Pelodiscus sinensis: one gene and its partner. The protein of the gene in region 1 binds, or shares a complex with, the protein of each later gene. Links are inferred from orthologs where the notes say so. Each region holds a gene or a part of one and is shown on either strand. Other genes may lie near its edges.

Region 1 (8,094 bases):
CTGCTTCCATCCCTGGAGTGTTGTTGCCCCCATCTCATGCAGATGACTGCTTCAGCAGCGTGTGTCTGGGACTGCCATTGCCCCTTGTGAGGGAGCTGTGTTTTATTCTGGCAATTCACTGTGCCCCTCCCGCCCCCCTTTGGTTGGGGGACTGGATTGATAGATGCTGATTCATTAAAGATTTTAAACTTGATCAAAATCTCTCCCACCCTGTGTGCATCTAAGGCAGAGATTTATTTCAGCTCAATGCCTGTAGCTGGATCCAGCCGCAAATGTTCAGCAGTTGCCACTTGTTCTTGTGCTGCAGTAGAGGCCACTGTGGCCTCTCCCTCCCCATTTGCCTTCTATTGTTCTGTCCCCACCTCAGTCTCCCTCCTGTGCCTCTTTGCTTGGTGTCCTGCCCTTATTCTAACACTCTTCCCGCTTCCCATTGGCTGTTGCCCACCCCAAATCCTTTCCTCGTGCCCCTTTCTCTCCTGGGCCAGCGGTGGGGCTACCCTGTAGTCCGTGTTGGACAGCTTGGTTCGTTTGCCTCCTCCGCTCCCCCACTGCTGTAGGGCCAGCAAAGGATGGGAGGGAGATGCTTCTGCTGGACAACTACTCACCTTTGCATAGAGCCAGGCAGCTGTCCTCCTCCAAGTGCCTGTCAACCTTTTCTGCAAGTAGCCCTGCAATGAGCTTGTGCCTGAGGAGGGGAGAGGAGCCAGTTTCTCCCAGTTGAGCAATGAGCAGGCCTTGTTTTGGAGGCAGCTTTACTAATAAACTTTTTTTTCTGCATTGATGAGCATAGAGAAGGCTGCGAGGCCCCTCTCTTGCACAGCTGTAGTGAAGTCTCTCTCTCTCCTGCCTGGGTCTAGTGTCCAGGAGCCCTGTGCTTAATTCCTAGCTCTGCGACTGCCTAACTGTGCAGCTTTTGGTGAGTCCCTGCCCAAGTCTCCATCTAGTGGGAAGGACTGACCTGACAGTGGGTGATGAAATAAAATCCATCAATATCTAAAGTTTCTTCCTCCCCTTCCCCACATACTGAGCCTTAGACTAGGGGTTCCCAGCTGCCAGGCCATAGACCAAGGCTGCGCTGCTGGGCCACAGTGGCTGCCAGAGCTGAAGCCGGCTGTTTGTTGTGGCTCACCGCCGCACAGCAGCCAGCTTCAGCTCTGGCAGCTGATTTTGCCCAGCAGTGCTGAGGTGGCAGCAGGAAGAGGCAGAGTAGGAGCCGCCTCCCTCCCCTCTCTCTCATCCGAGTAAGGTGGTGGCCCAGCAGGGGCTCTGCTGTCTTCTCCCCCCCATCTGCCTCTACCCATGGTGGCACAACACGTGCTTGGGGAAGGAGGGGGTGCACTGCCAACAGCCGCTCCCTCTGCCCATGCAGCAGTAACAGCCATGCTTCCTGGAGGGGGCAGCCTCACTCTGGGGAGTGAGGGTGGGGCCAAAGGGGTATTGGGTGAGGGTGTGGTGGGGTCGTGGGGCAAGAGGTTGATGGCATGGGCTGTAGGAGTCGGAGGTTAAAGGGTGTTAGGCACTGAGGAGCAAGGGGCATGGTTGGGGCTGAGGGAGGTCAGGGGTTACAGGTCAGAGGGCAAGAGGGGGTAGGTTGCAATAGGTCAGTGGCTATGGAGCCAGGTGCAGTGCAGTTCATGCTCCTGTTTCAGGGGGCAGCAGATCTGAGGGAGTCTGAGCAGGGTTGGGGGCCTCCGAGCTTGTGCAACAGGCAGTTGCAGGGTCAGTGGGGCAGGATCAGGGTTTGGCAGAACGGGCGGTCGGGGTTTGTGGAGCGAGGGGCACCAGGGGTAGTGGGGGCAGGATCTGGGAGTGGAGGAAGGGTATGGGAGCCAGGGAAATGGGAGGTTGTCTGTTGGTCAGGGATTGCTGGGACACAGCGCACCAAGAATGGTAATGACGGCAGGACGGGCTCCAGGCAAGACAGAGCTGCTTGACCAAAGGAAGTTGGCAGCAGGGGTTTCTGGGAAGTGGGAGATGGTGGGCACTGGGGTGACAGGTTTGGCAAGGCAGACTTGTGAGGTAATGGGGTTACCGTTAGTGGGATATAAGGGATATCAGATGATGGGTTTGGCAGGTTTAATGATAGAGTCACAGAATACCAGGCTTGGCTGGATGGGGTCAGAGGGTTCTGGGATTGGAGGCAGAGGGATGTGCAGTGACAAAACCGGGTGAGTGGGTTGGTGGACAAGAAAGTCTCGGCTTGACAAAGCCCTGGCTAAGTTGATTTAGTTGTGATTGGTCCTGCCTTGGGCAGGGAGCTGAACTTGATGACCTCTAAGTAACATTATTTGCATATTCATTATCTGCATAATGAATATGCAAATAACATGTTACCAGTCCACCAAAAGTTTGTGAATGGGTTTGCTGGTTCGTGATATAAAAAATGTTGGGAAGCACTGCCTTAGACAAACCAGTTTTCCATGTTGGATCATCCTGTGAGTGCCCTAAGCGGGGGGGCCCTCTGGGACCTTCCTCTGAGACCTGACCCATTCCCCAGCATAATACACCCCTCAGCACTGGTAATTTGGTCGAGTCCCTGCTGGAACTTCTTCTCTGCAGGCCTTCCTGCCGTAGGTCCCTAGCTGCAGTCAGGCCCACATGGTGCAAGGGCGGGGTTCTGCTCAAGCCTTGGCTTGCTTGTTTGGTTCCTGATCCTCTTTTTACATCATACAGACTTGCCCTTGTGAATTCAGTACCACGGCATTAAAGAATTCAGCTTAAATGTCTAAGTGCTGCTTTATGCTATAAAGTCAAGTTGGTCTATCTATTAGGGATGATATTCGTTTCGCTGGCTTCCTAAGCTGCAGCCCTTTTCAGCCTCCTGGCACTGACCTTCGCTCTTACAGGCTAGCCCCTCTCCTGGTTTCCTGAGAAATTCCCCTTTATCCAAGAGGGACTGTAGAGACTGATAAACTCTTCCAGCCCTACTTCACCAGGTCTCCCACCTTGTAGGTTTTCCCTGGTCCTTCATAGTCCACAGCTGCTACCCTGCTCTCTTAATTGTACTTGTTCTGCCTGGCATGAGGGTGTGGATTTGTGTCATTTTCAGGGGCCAGCTGCGACCGTACAGGGATGCATGTGATTTCCTTGGCTAAGACTTCACCACAGCGGATGTTGCGAGATACCTTCTGTTCTGTGGTAATAATGCTAAAGATGTCAAAGCTTGAGACTGCAAAAAAAAAAAAATTTTGTAGCAAACTGACAAATTAATGAGCAAGTAGTCAACAGAAGCAGCTGATAAAAGAATATTTTTAAGGCTGCAGAGCCAAGAATACATGTTAGAAAGTGCCATATTTAAGACTGTCTGTATGACTTTAACCCTGCTCTTTAAGCACATGCATTATGGTACAGTCTTGTAATTATGTGATCACATACTATTATGTGGATTCACTGCCTTATTTAGTGTATATGATGGACCTGTTCCATGAGACAAGTATCCAAGTAAGTCTGTATCTGCAAAAACAATGAGTCCTGTAGCAGACTAACAGATTTATTTGGGCATATGCTTTTGTGGGCAAAGACCCACTGTGTCAGATGCATCTGCTGAATAACTTGTTTCTGTTCTGTGTGGTGAAGGAGACTGTCTGCAGAACCCCATTTCATTTGTTTCAGAAAATAGGTGTGACACAAAGGTGAAGGACTGCAAGAAGAGAGAGGTTGGTCTCATGGTAACTTAAGGCAGCTGAACACTACCTTGGGGAGTTCTAGTCTAGCTTCTGTGTGCTACTGAGTAAGTCATAGTAATCAGACTTTTCCCAGGTGGTTGCTAATTGTGTGCTCCTCATGTCCTGGGACTCATTTGCAGAAGTGCCCGACTTTTAAGTACTCTGAAAAATCAGTCCCTAAGTATCTCAAATCTGGCACTTAAAATTCTGTGTCTTAGTCCCCTATCTGCAAACCCCTTCATCCGACAGGGCCTTGTAAAGATAAAGTTGGTGAATCATTTAGATACTGTAGTGATAAGTGCTGCAAAAAAAACTATGAGGAAATAAATAATTTTTGCCCTAAGAAAAGGGTTTGAACAGCATGTAATCAGGATCTAACCAGTAAGCATCACCCTTACCAGTAACTGAGGGGCTGCTTCAGCACAGCCAAGTCCCCTGTGCCACAAGCTGGGGGTGCTCTATTCTGGCTGAGCCGGGGTAGGGTGCAGTGGGTCCCAACTGGCTGGAACAGCTCCCCACCAGTGGGATCCTGATTAACCATTTAACTGATTGAGTGGGATTTTACATCCCTAGCATGTAGTGAATGAGGCCTGTGTCTGTATAATGACATGGAGTAAATCTATTATCTGGCTCATTTAATGAACACAGTCCAAGTGGTGCACTGTGTGAGATGGGGTCCTTTGGGGGGGGGGGATAGCCTGTGATCATGTCATTAGTGACTGAAGCCCTAGTTTGCAACTGGGGAAACTGAGGCATGGATTAAGTGACTTTCCAAAGGTCACCCAGCCAGCCAGTGTCAAAGCTGGACACAGCCACCCTGTTCCTCTGATCCTGGAATATAAGCTAGGCTAGATCTGCCCGAGCCCTGAGGGGCTGAAGAGCCCCTGTGCAAGGAAGAGGACAGGCCTGTCTCGAGCAGGGCACTGTGCATGAAGCACCCCAAGGAGAAGAGGTCCATCTCCCCACTCTGCTGCCCGGTTTTGCGCTCCCCTCCCAGTGCTGGCCTTACCGTGAGGCAAACTGAGGGGGCGGCCTCAGGTGCCAGACTGTGGGGGGTGGGGGAAGCCACTAGGACCCAGAGTGTAGAAAATTGTGTCTGCTGATGGTGCAGACGTAGGTAGCAGAGCAGCCCCATGTGAGGAGTAGAACAGGCAGCACTGAGACCTTTCAAAGTGTTGGCCCAAGCGAGGGGGCATCATGGGGCGTCATTTGAGCTCCCTGCCTCACGTGCCAAAATGTTGTGGCCCTCCCCTCTCCTCGCCTCCCCTCCCGTCTCCGACTTCCACGTACGGTGCCAGCCCGGCCCGCAGCGCCGCTGCTGCTGCTGCAGTCCCGCTCCCCGCCCCTCCGCAGCGCAGCCCGCCCCCCGCTCCCTGCGCAGCCCCCTCCCTGCGCTCGCCTGGCCGCGGCAGCCCTGATTGGCCCCCGGCCCCTCTCTCCGGCCGGGCTCGCCGCCGCCATGAACCCGCTGTTCGGCCCCAACCTCTTCCTGCTGCAGCAGGAGCAGCAGGGCCTGGCCGAGCCGGAGCCGCCGCCCCTGGGGGACTTCTTCGGCGGCGAGCTGGGCCCCGCTCCCGCGGCGCCCCCGTTCGCGGCGCCCCCCGCCGCCATGGCCCTGCGCAACGACCTGGGCTCCAACATCAGCGTGCTGAAGACCCTCAACCTGCGCTTCCGCTGCTTCCTGGCCAAGGTGCACGAGCTGGAGCGCAGGAACCGGCAGCTGGAGAAGCAGCTGCAGCAGGCGCTGGAGGAGGGGGGCGGCCGCTCGCGGGGCGTCCCGCGCCGGGACCAGGCTGTGCAGACCAGCGTCGTCAGCCCCATCCGCCCGCTGGGCCTGGCCCTGGGCAGCGCCCGGCCGGCCGGGCTCAGCGCCCCCTCCAGGGGGGTGGGCTCCCCCAGCTGCCACCCCGGGCTGCCCTTCGCCCCTTCGTCCCAGCCCGCCGCCGCCGGCCCCTTCTCAGCCTCCTCCCGCTTCATGCCCGGCACCATCTGGTCCTTCTCGCAAGCCCGGCGGCTGGGCCCGGGGCCCGAGACCACCCTGGTGCAGGGGCCCGGGCTCTCGTGGGTTCACCCCGACGGGGTAGGCGTCCAGATCGACACCATCACCCCGGAGATCCGGGCCCTCTACAATGTGCTGGCCAAGGTGAAGCGGGAGCGCGACGAGTACAAACGCAGGTGAGAGGCGCAGGGAGAGTCCCGGGCAAGGGCGGGGGCAGGTCGGGACACCTGGGAGCCAGGGATGCGCGGGGAGATCGCGCAGAGGCAAGGTTGCCGCTGACGGGGAGACTTGCAGGGCAGTGCCCAGAGGCGGTGGGCAAGGGACTCCTGGCACAGGTGGGAGAGTCTGGGCAGTGAGGTGGCAAAGGGAGAAGGGGGGTGTAGATTGCACACTCAAGCCCCCAGAGTCACGAATCCGGTCCCCACATTCATGAGATCAAGAAATAGATCATGAAAACTTGAAAAATGATCAAAGCTGGGCTCCTTTTGTTTAGCTCCATGGTGCATTTAGGCCACATTCTCCAGCTTTTAACTCCAGCGATGAGGGGCTGAAACTTTTTGTTGCTTTAATGGAAGCTTCTGAATGACTCCAGGAGCTGGGGCTTTAAGAAAAAAAACAGAGTTAGCAACTGTGTGAGAGATGATACCGCAGGTAAGGAGATTGGGCTTGCAAGGGCAATGGGGAGCAGGGAGATGGGCTGAGGAGGAGTCAGAGAGGAGAGGCAGTTTAAAGGTGACGACAAAGAGCCCAAGACCATGGCAATTCAGTGTCAAAGACAAGGGACCACACGTGACAAACTGTCCACTTTACCCCATTTCTCCCTATCCTTTCTCCCCAAACCTCATATCAGAACATAGTCCTGTAGCATATCTAGTCCGTGATCTAGCACCAGCTGTCTCTGAGGCAGGTGCAGGAAACCCTGCAGAAGGCAGTGATGGGATAACCTGTCCCAGGGAAACATTCCTCCTGCCCCCCTAGAGCGAGTGGTTGGCTTGTGCACAGAGTTCTCGGGGAGCCTTTTAATATTATTGGGAAGTCCTTACTTTACAAAGTGGCAACGACATTTCTATTTAAAACCAAGTTTTAAACTGCTCTAAAATCTACCTCTTTAATAAGATCAGCCTGAAAACAAGCTGGTTTTAGTTCAGGGCATAGGAGAATTGGATGCAAACTTGGAGTAACTTGGCTAAAGGACTAGGGATGTGAAGGACTAGTCAATTATCCGATAAGCCAATGCTTATTGGATTGTCGACAGGCTAGTCGACTAGTCACTCCCCCCCCCCTTTGCTGCCTCTATCAGAAAGAGGCAGCAATGGGGGGAGAAGAGAGGGTACTTCAAAGTGGCAGTGCTGCTTGAAGCCTGGGGCCAGACCCCAGGCTCCATGCAGCGCTGCCGCTTTGAAGCACCACATGCAGCCAGGGGCCAGCTGGGGTGGCCCCAGGCTGCATGCAGCATTTCAAAGCGGCAGCGCCACATGAAGCCCAGGATTAGCTGGGGATTTCCCCACTGACTCCGGGCTCTGTGTGGTGCTGCCACTTTGAAACGCCACAGGGAGCCCAGCGTCGGGCTCCTCACGGTGTTTCAAAGAGCAGCGTTGCACAGAGTTTGTGATCAGTGAGGGAGTCCCCAGCTGACCCTGGGCTCCATGCAGCGCTTTTACCTTTGAAGTGTAACAACAGCTCTAGCGCTGTTGCTACACTCAAAGGCTGAGGTGCCCTATTGACTAATCGAATGGTCCATGCAAAATTCATGGACTATTTGATTAGTCAATTAGTCTATACTTAATATCCTTTAAAAGGACTGTAGGAATATTAATCTCTTCCCCTCCTCCCCCACAGCCAAATGACTTGTGAATTAAAAAAAAAAAAAAAAAAAAAAAAGCTCTTGCTTGTGATGCTTTTGGGGCATTCTTTAATCAATTGAAAAAATGATGGGCAGTATCCACATAAACATATTGCTCTGAACTGCCCCTGTTAACCACTAGTTGTCAGTTGCCAAGAGCCAAATAGTTAGGCTTTCTTTTTAACTCTGTGGAGCAGGAAACTGAAGTGCTGTGAGCTGTGTGTGGAACAGGAGAGGGAGGAGACTGATACTCAGGGGAAGGAGCACCAGACTAGGAAACAGATGCTCAGGAGTATGTCTCCTCTTCTGTGGCCTGCTACTGTCAGTGCATTTCATACATAGTATCGTTAAGCAGCACAGGCTTAGAGCCTTTCCTAGGGGCCGGCAGCCCCTTGTTGGAGAGCAGGTAACAGGGAGGCTGCCCAGTGTCATTGCGATCAGAGCTAGTAGAACCCAGGTCTCTAATATAGTAAGCTCAAGTATCAGCCACTCATCCCTTTGAAAAGGGTATGCCCCTCCTAGGGCTGCAGTCGCACAGGCTGGAATGTCCGTGTGAGAGCTGTGGTAATGGAGGATGCACAAATTGC
Region 2 (7,243 bases), on another chromosome or scaffold:
GGGTCCTCCGCCGCTTTGCTCAGCGTCTCCCTGGTCTGCTGGGGTGGACGCAGCTAGTGCCCCCCTCAGCAGACCAGGGAGATGTGGAGCAAAGCCCGGGGCCTGTGGTAGAGCAGGTGGGGCGCTGCCGGTTGGTCCCACAGCACCGCTCCTTGGCGCTACTGGACCAACCTGGCAGCACCCCAGCTACTCTGCCCCAGGAGTCCTGATTCAGCCGCTGCTGATCAGTTTCAGCAGTGGCTGAATCAGGACACCTGGGGCAGAGCAGCTGGGGTGCTGCTGGGTTGCTCCAGTAGCGCCAAGGAGCAGCCGCACTACTGGACCAACCCAGCAGCACCTGAGCTGCTCTGCCCCAGGCGTCCCCAAATTAGCCGCTGCTGAAACTGACCAGCGGCTGACTACAGGAAGCCCGAGGCAGAATTGCTCCGCCCCGGGCTTCCTGGAATCAGCTGCTGATCAGTTTCAGCAGCAGCTGACTTGGGGACGCCTGGGGTTCTTAAGTTGAATCTGTATGTAAGTCAGAACTGGTGTCCAGATTCAGCGGCTGAATCTGGATGCCAGTTCCGACTTACATACAGATTCAACTTAAGAACAAACCTACAGTCCCTATCTTGTACGTAACCCGGGGACTGCCTGTACACGTTTAATCAAGAAGGGGAGCCACTTTGCAGAGCTGCAACGTGGGTGGCTCCCAGACCCAGTGCAAGCTGGAACTGAGCAGTCCCAGCTCGCGCTGGCTCTGGGACTGCTGCACCTCTGCATTTTAAATGTAGTAAGAGTCCAGCAGCTCTTACTACATTTAAAGTGCAGAGGCACAGTAGTCCCAAACTGGTGCAAGCTAGGACTGCTTGGTCTCAGCTTGCACGGGGTCCAGCAGCCCGTTTGCGGTAGTCCAGACTGGCCATGGACAGGAGCTGCTGCCAGAGCAGCCGGGGCCACTGTGGGCAGAGGCTACTTCGTGGTAGCCTCCCCTATTGCCCCCTCCACCACCCTGCCTCTGATAGAGGCAGGGGCAGGCGACACTGCAGAGACAGTTCTGGGGGGAACTAGCTCCCCACAGCCCCCATTTCCCCCAGCCTTGCTGCCTCTTATACAGAGGCAGCAAGGTGAGACAGCAAGGGCGGAGGGAAGCGAGTAGTCAACTACCCAACTTGACTACTCACTTATATCCCTATCACAAAACAGATTCAACAGCTGGTTAGGGAGTTCCCTCCAATAAGGGAACACCTATACACAGCTGGGGATCTGGCCAGACTGCGCTGTACTTTGATAATTCTTGGACTAGCCCTGTGTAAGCACCATGTGTAATTTAAAGCAGGCTCGAGGATCCTCTAAAACAGGCTGAGGGCCAGAAGGGCAACTAGCAGCCCTGGGGATCAGGGGAACACAAAGGTGGCTCAAAGTATTTGCATTACCCTGATCCCAAAAGCACCAAGGATCAGTCTGCCATAGCTGGGAAACTGAAGCCTGATGTTATTCTGATATCTCACTGATTACACTATATCCAAATGTAGAGGTTTCCAGTTCACAAGGTTTTTATTATTAACAATATATGGTTGCAACATAGAAGTACCAGGTGGGTAAAATACTCCAGCCCCCACCAATTACCAGTTAACTGAAGCCTTTCCTGTTAAGAGTGACGGTTACCAGTTAATCTTTCACATCCTTAGTTTGAGGCCCAAGATTCCCACAACAGCAACCTAAGTCAACAGACTATCCATGCCTACATTCACCACTGCAGTCAATAACCACGATCAATCACATTAACTGGCTGCTTCAGTTAAAACATTAAATAATTAAGATTGGCATTTAAAAGGCAATTATTTGACTGTAAAGTCATATTATCATATTGAGATGGATAGGAGAGTTCATAATTCACACAACTGCTGTTTTAAGCTATCTGCAGTTTCAGTAAGACAACAATTAAGTTTACCCTCAAATCATATCTGGAATGTTTTTGCCTCTCACAATCAGAAAAGTTAAAAACTTAATTACTGGCTGTTACTGACAGCTTAGTTTCTAGCTGTACAGTTTTGCAGCAAAATTTGATAGAATTGTACAATTTAAGTGATTGTGACTCGGAATGATGAGAGGCAGGTATTTAATCGAAGAGCAAATATAATTTTTACTTACTACTCAATTAGGCGATAGGCAGCCCAGCTCAATCCCAGCTCGCACTGGGTGAAGGACCAAACCTAACTTTGGCTCTGCAACTTAAAAGACAATAGGAGCTAGGGGGCTTCGGCAAGTAAATACACTCCTGAACCCTTAATGTATATATCATATACAGCTCTCTACACACATAAGCAGTAGGGAAAGGCTGCACAGGGCAAAAGCTCCAGGACCTTCACGATTTGGAAATCTTTTACTGCAACAGTGAAATACTCCCAACATTTGGGAGACAATGCTTGTCACACTAATGTTAAATATGGCCCACCTCAGGCCACTGAGGACAGAGACTGCTCTGGCACCAGCTGGCTGTGGACGGGGGATGCTGCTTGAGCAGACCCTGCCCGCTGCTAGCCCTGGCCGCCATGAACAGGGGTTGCTTGGCGGCAACAGCCCCTGTCGGGGGGGGGGGGGGGGAGGAAGGAGTCCAGCACTTCACAGCAGCATCCCTTAACCCCCTGCTGCCTCAGAGAGAGGCAGCAGAGGCAGGCTGCACCCAGGAGATGGTACTTCACTGGTTCCCCTCAGCACTGGCTCCTGCTTCCCACCCTTGCTGCCTCTTTCTGAAAAAGGCAGCAGGGGGAGGTAGGGAGCAACTAGTTGACTAGTCAGTTGCATCCCTTCTTTGCTCTATGCAGAACATGTTCTTACTTGGACTTCTGCTTTTACAGAAAAAATAATCATCTCTAGATTCCAGTTTTCTCTCTCATTTTGCACTTAAGAGCCAAATTTAATAAATTAAATGACCCTTTGATCAACATGGTTAGTTATATTTTAGGGCAGAGTTTTCAATTTTTTCCCCTTCTATTATCCTACATTCTCAAATCCATTAAAGCAACATTAGAAAAGTCAGAAAGGTACAAAAGAGCTATAGCTCTCCCAGGCTGCTGCTGAAAAGGGAAAACTTCACTTATGCTCATCCTCCAAAGTGTCAGTGTATTTTCAGAGACCATTCAACAAGTCAGGCAACAACTGCTTTGGTCTGACACACCCTGTGCCTACAAGGCACAGCCATCATAAAGATCTTGCAAAGAATGCTTACACAAGCAACTATAGACTGAACCTCTCTATTCTGGCAGCCCGCAACCTAACTAGAGCCAAACCAGAGAATTTGCAGAGCCACAGGAGGTAAATATTGTGTAGCAGCATTACCAACACTTCCACTGCTTACTGGGCTCTTAGGGTATGTTTACACTGCATTCCTCTGTCCAGAGAGGAATGCAAATGCAGCTGAGCAAAATTGCAAATGAAGCATGGATTTGAATTTCCCATGCTTCATTTGCATAATCGCATCAGGCTGCTTTTTTGAAATAGCTTTTTTTTAAAATAAGGTGTCTAGATGTGATTATTTCAAAAGGAAACCCTTCTTTCGAAATTACCATTAAACCGCCTTTTAAGGAATATATATTATGCATTGTTCTCTTAAAACCCACATTATTTTCAAGAAAAAGCAACTACTCGTGTGTTATCAAGAATCTAACAGAAAATATCGTTTAAGCACATTTATCCCTTTAAAAAAGAAAGGGCGGCAAGATCTACCTGCTGCAGACTAGCGAGTATAACCGAATACTCAGCTACACATCACGTGCTCGCGAGAGTTCTCCCGCCCTTCACCTATTTGGGTCGCTGAATGACGTCACAGGCGCGATGGCGTCACTCAGCAAGCCAGGCATTGGTGACCGAAATGAAGCATAATGGGGGGGGGGGGGAGGGCAACCACGAGACTGAGTCTCCAGCGTGGTTACTGGAACAGGGGGGCCAGGAGCGCGGGGGCCTCTGAGCAAGCGCCACAAACCAGCCGCGAGCTCCTGGGGTCGGAGCCCCTCACAGATCAGGGAAAAGGAGGGGGAAGGGGAAGGGGCTCAGCGCCGCACAACCGGCACCTTCGCGCTTACCATAGCTCCCCGCTTCTAGACACATCACACTTCCGGGAACGAGGGGGGCAGAACCGGAAGAGGCGTTACCTAATTTTCTTCTGGTTGGTCGGGGAAGTGCCGGCTCGTGACTGACAGGCGTCAGCGGAGCCTCTGCGAGTGCTGATTGGGGGCGGCGGCCAGAGGGCTGGGGGGGTGCATAACTGTACCGGCGCGCGGCAGCTGGCGGCTTTGATTGGCTGCAGCAACTCACACTCCCCCGCCCCCACCGCGGGAAGGCGGAAACGGGATCGCACAGTGGGAGCGAGGTACAGGGGGGCTGTCGGGCGCTCCCACAAGGCGCGGGCCTCCTCTTGCCTGTGCCCTGGCAGCAGACTCCCTGCGTCCGCGCTGCCGCCTTGCTGGGGCGGGCGGGGTCGTGTAACTGAGGCGGGAAAGGGGCAGGAGCCTGCCAAGGGCTGTCGGGTGGGGCGGTGGCCTCCTTCCCCTCCACCAGAGATAGGGGCGGGGAAATTTCCGTTGGTGGGAGCAGAAACGGAGGGGAACGTCCGAGGCCTCGCCCTTCTCGCCCCGTCTCCGCGGGTATAGGAGCAGTAGCATGGGGGCAATCCCAGAAGCAGTGCTTGGGTCGCGGGGCAGCGGCTGGGTCTCTCTGCTTCCCTTCCCCGCCTCCCCTTCCTCCGTACACTGACCTCTAGCAGGCGCCTGTGTAATTTTTCAAGCCCTTCTGGACTTGTCTATACTGGGAACTTGCATGGGCATCCTTCAGTGCTGTGAAATATCCACATCCTTCAATAACGTTGCCAGGCCAACCTGATCCGTGGTGTACACAGTGCGAGGTTGATGAAATAATTACTTTGCCAGTCTGGAAGGTGGCTTTACTACTACAGCAATGGGAGAACTGTCAACATAAATAATGTCTACATAGACTGAAACTACGACTATAAAGGCAATGCAATTTTTAGAAGCTGCTGTATTAGGTTTCTAAATTCTGTGTTAGCTCTCCACCCTGCACTCCCCCCCTCCCCCCCAACAGGGCATAGCTAGTTGGTTGGTAGTCTTGCTTACTTCATTGGGTCATATGCCTACTTTTACATTGACCCTATGAGTACGCTTTGTATATATGAATGAAACTTGGCCTCCTTTTGCCCTCTTAGGATAAAAAGTGCTGGATGAAAAATGAATCTCCCCTTTTGATTGTCACTGAGTACCTGTAAATGAAGAATTCTTGCTGTTGATTTCTGGGCATGTTGTTTTTAAAGTTGGCAAACAAAGATTCATATGCTTCAGAGGGGTAGCTGTGTTAGTCTGTAAGAGGAAAAATGTAAACAACAAATAGTCTGGTAGCACTTTAAAGACTAACAAAACATTTAGATGGTATCAGATTCATCTGTACAGATAGATGCAGGTCTTTACTGGCAAACAGTATTCCATTTCATTTAACTTCTGTAAACTACCCTTTTTATGGAATATTTGTCATCTGTAGAAATATCTCACCACCTCCCATTCACTTAATAAATATATTTTTGTCTTACATGTAAGGGCCTATCATTGCTCATCTTGTCACTTCCCTTCTAAGTGACCAAACTATGGATATGAAATATAAAAACTGTAATTGGATATTGTGATTAAAACCCCACCTGTCTAGTTGAAATGACAGTGGTAGCTCTAATACATTTTTGTGAGCATTTCTGTTTTAAAGGGCACATCTGATTTTTCCCTTGACTTGTTCTGTAACTCATGATAGAACGGCTTGTTATCCTATAGCAGTCAAGGTAATCTTTAAAGAGTTAGTTTATCCCATTTTGGCACCATGCCATGATACTTAAAACATTTTCCAGTGTTTGGTTACTCCTTGTTGTGTAAAGTGCGTAAAGTTTAATCATTTCATTCTAAGCATCTATTAGAAATGTGGAACTGCAGTGATGCGGTAATATCTTATTTAGTGAAGTATGATGAATCAAATAAAAAAAACATTGTTTTAAATGAAGCACCCCATTTCAAAAAAAGAACATCTTAACAATTGGTTTGGTTTTGCAGGTAAATTCAGAATGATCCTCACTGTTTACTCCTGGAAGCATATAAGACAACAGAGTAGACTTAAAAAGAAGCAGATTCATCTATCAGTCTCCTCAGCTTAGATTTTATTGCAGCTCCTGTGTGCTAATTCACTTCATTATCCTCCTTTCCTTTATGGAAATGCTACCTTGGTGGGAGCTTTAAATTTATGTGACAGACTTGGTGTGGCTAAGTTGGAAATGCTTGAATAAAGGTAATACTTATGTGTCAGAGCTATAACCCCTTTTCTCATACTTAGCTACTAAAAGGCACAAATTAATTGAAACCTTTGTAGTTTTTTAATTGTCCAGTGTGGTGATTTAGGTTATTGGCTCACTGAAGTCATTACATGCATCAGGGGGCCTGTTAGAGCTATGAAATCCATAGTGATGCTTTCATCTGACAGCTGATTTTGAAGGAGGTCTATATCTCTACCTCCATAGTCTTTGCAGTAGATAGGATTTAATTTGTGGGATCACTGTGGTGAAATAGATGTAGCCTTGTTATTTTGTGAGCAGTTAGCTTTGATCTTCTGAGAAATTTCAGTAAGACAACACTATATGTGAGAATGTAAAATTTCAGTGGAAGAGTGTGACTATTATTTTTGTGCTAAGGACTAGAGATGTAAGAGATTAGTCAACTATCCAATAATCAGAAGCTTAGCGGATAGTTGACTAGTCATGCGACTAGTCGCTTCTCCCCCTCCTCCCCCCTCGCTGCCTCTATCAGATAGAGGCAGCAAGAGGGAGAGGAGCAGGAGCTGGTGCTAGGGAGAGCCGGCTTAAAAGCTGGTTCCCCCTAGCACCGTCTCTGTGGTGGGCAGGGGAGATAGCGGCACAACAGGAAATGCCACGAGCGGGGACTGAAGCAGTCTCTGCTTGCCGCACTTCTGCTGCTATTCTACTTTTGAAATTTCAAAAGCAGAAGCCCCGCAGAGAGCATGGGGCTTCTGCTTTTGAACTGTAGCAAGAGCCTGATAGGGCTCTTGCTTCAGTGCAAAGGCACCCTTATAGACTAATTGAATAGTCAGTGGAAATCCCATCAATTGTTCAGTTTAGTTAATTAATCTAAATTTAACATCCCTGCTAAGGACTGTCACCACTGATCTGTTTTCTGAAAGGTTACTGAATAGCTGAATGTCA

Evidence for each region.
Region 2: the proteins of IFFO1 (region 1) and XRCC4 are in contact, whole or in part, in a crystal structure (PDB 6ABO), measured with the Homo sapiens proteins. The link is inferred for Pelodiscus sinensis from reciprocal best matches to the Homo sapiens genes IFFO1 and XRCC4. Residues at the interface, in NP_001317253.1 of Homo sapiens: Arg469, Glu470, Tyr473, Ile477, Gln479, Ile480, Glu481, Glu483, Leu484, Ala487, Lys488, Asp490, Met491, Arg493, His494, Leu495, Tyr498, Met501, Lys505, Leu508, Asp509, Met512, Cys515, Arg516, Leu518, Ile519, Thr520, Gln521; in NP_001304941.1 of Homo sapiens: Trp155, Val158, Gln159, Phe162, Glu163, Cys165, Val166, Lys169, Glu170, Glu173, Leu176, Tyr177, Phe180, Val183, Leu184, Lys187, Lys188, Lys190, Ile191, Leu194, His195, Lys197, Leu198, Ala201, Ala202, Arg205, Glu212.

What each region holds. Positions count from the first base shown.
Region 1 is NC_134711.1:138,774,654-138,782,747, forward strand, and holds the start of IFFO1 (non-homologous end joining factor IFFO1), read left to right. Parts: upstream 1-5,019; 5' UTR 5,020-5,124; coding exon 5,125-5,840; intron 5,841-8,094. UniProt on the Homo sapiens protein: Nuclear matrix protein involved in the immobilization of broken DNA ends and the suppression of chromosome translocation during DNA double-strand breaks (DSBs).
Region 2 is NC_134716.1:79,416,365-79,423,607, reverse strand, and holds the start of XRCC4 (DNA repair protein XRCC4), read left to right. Parts: upstream 1-4,204; 5' UTR 4,205-4,351; intron 4,352-7,243. Other genes in the region: TMEM167A (protein kish-A), read right to left, coding at 4,065-4,067.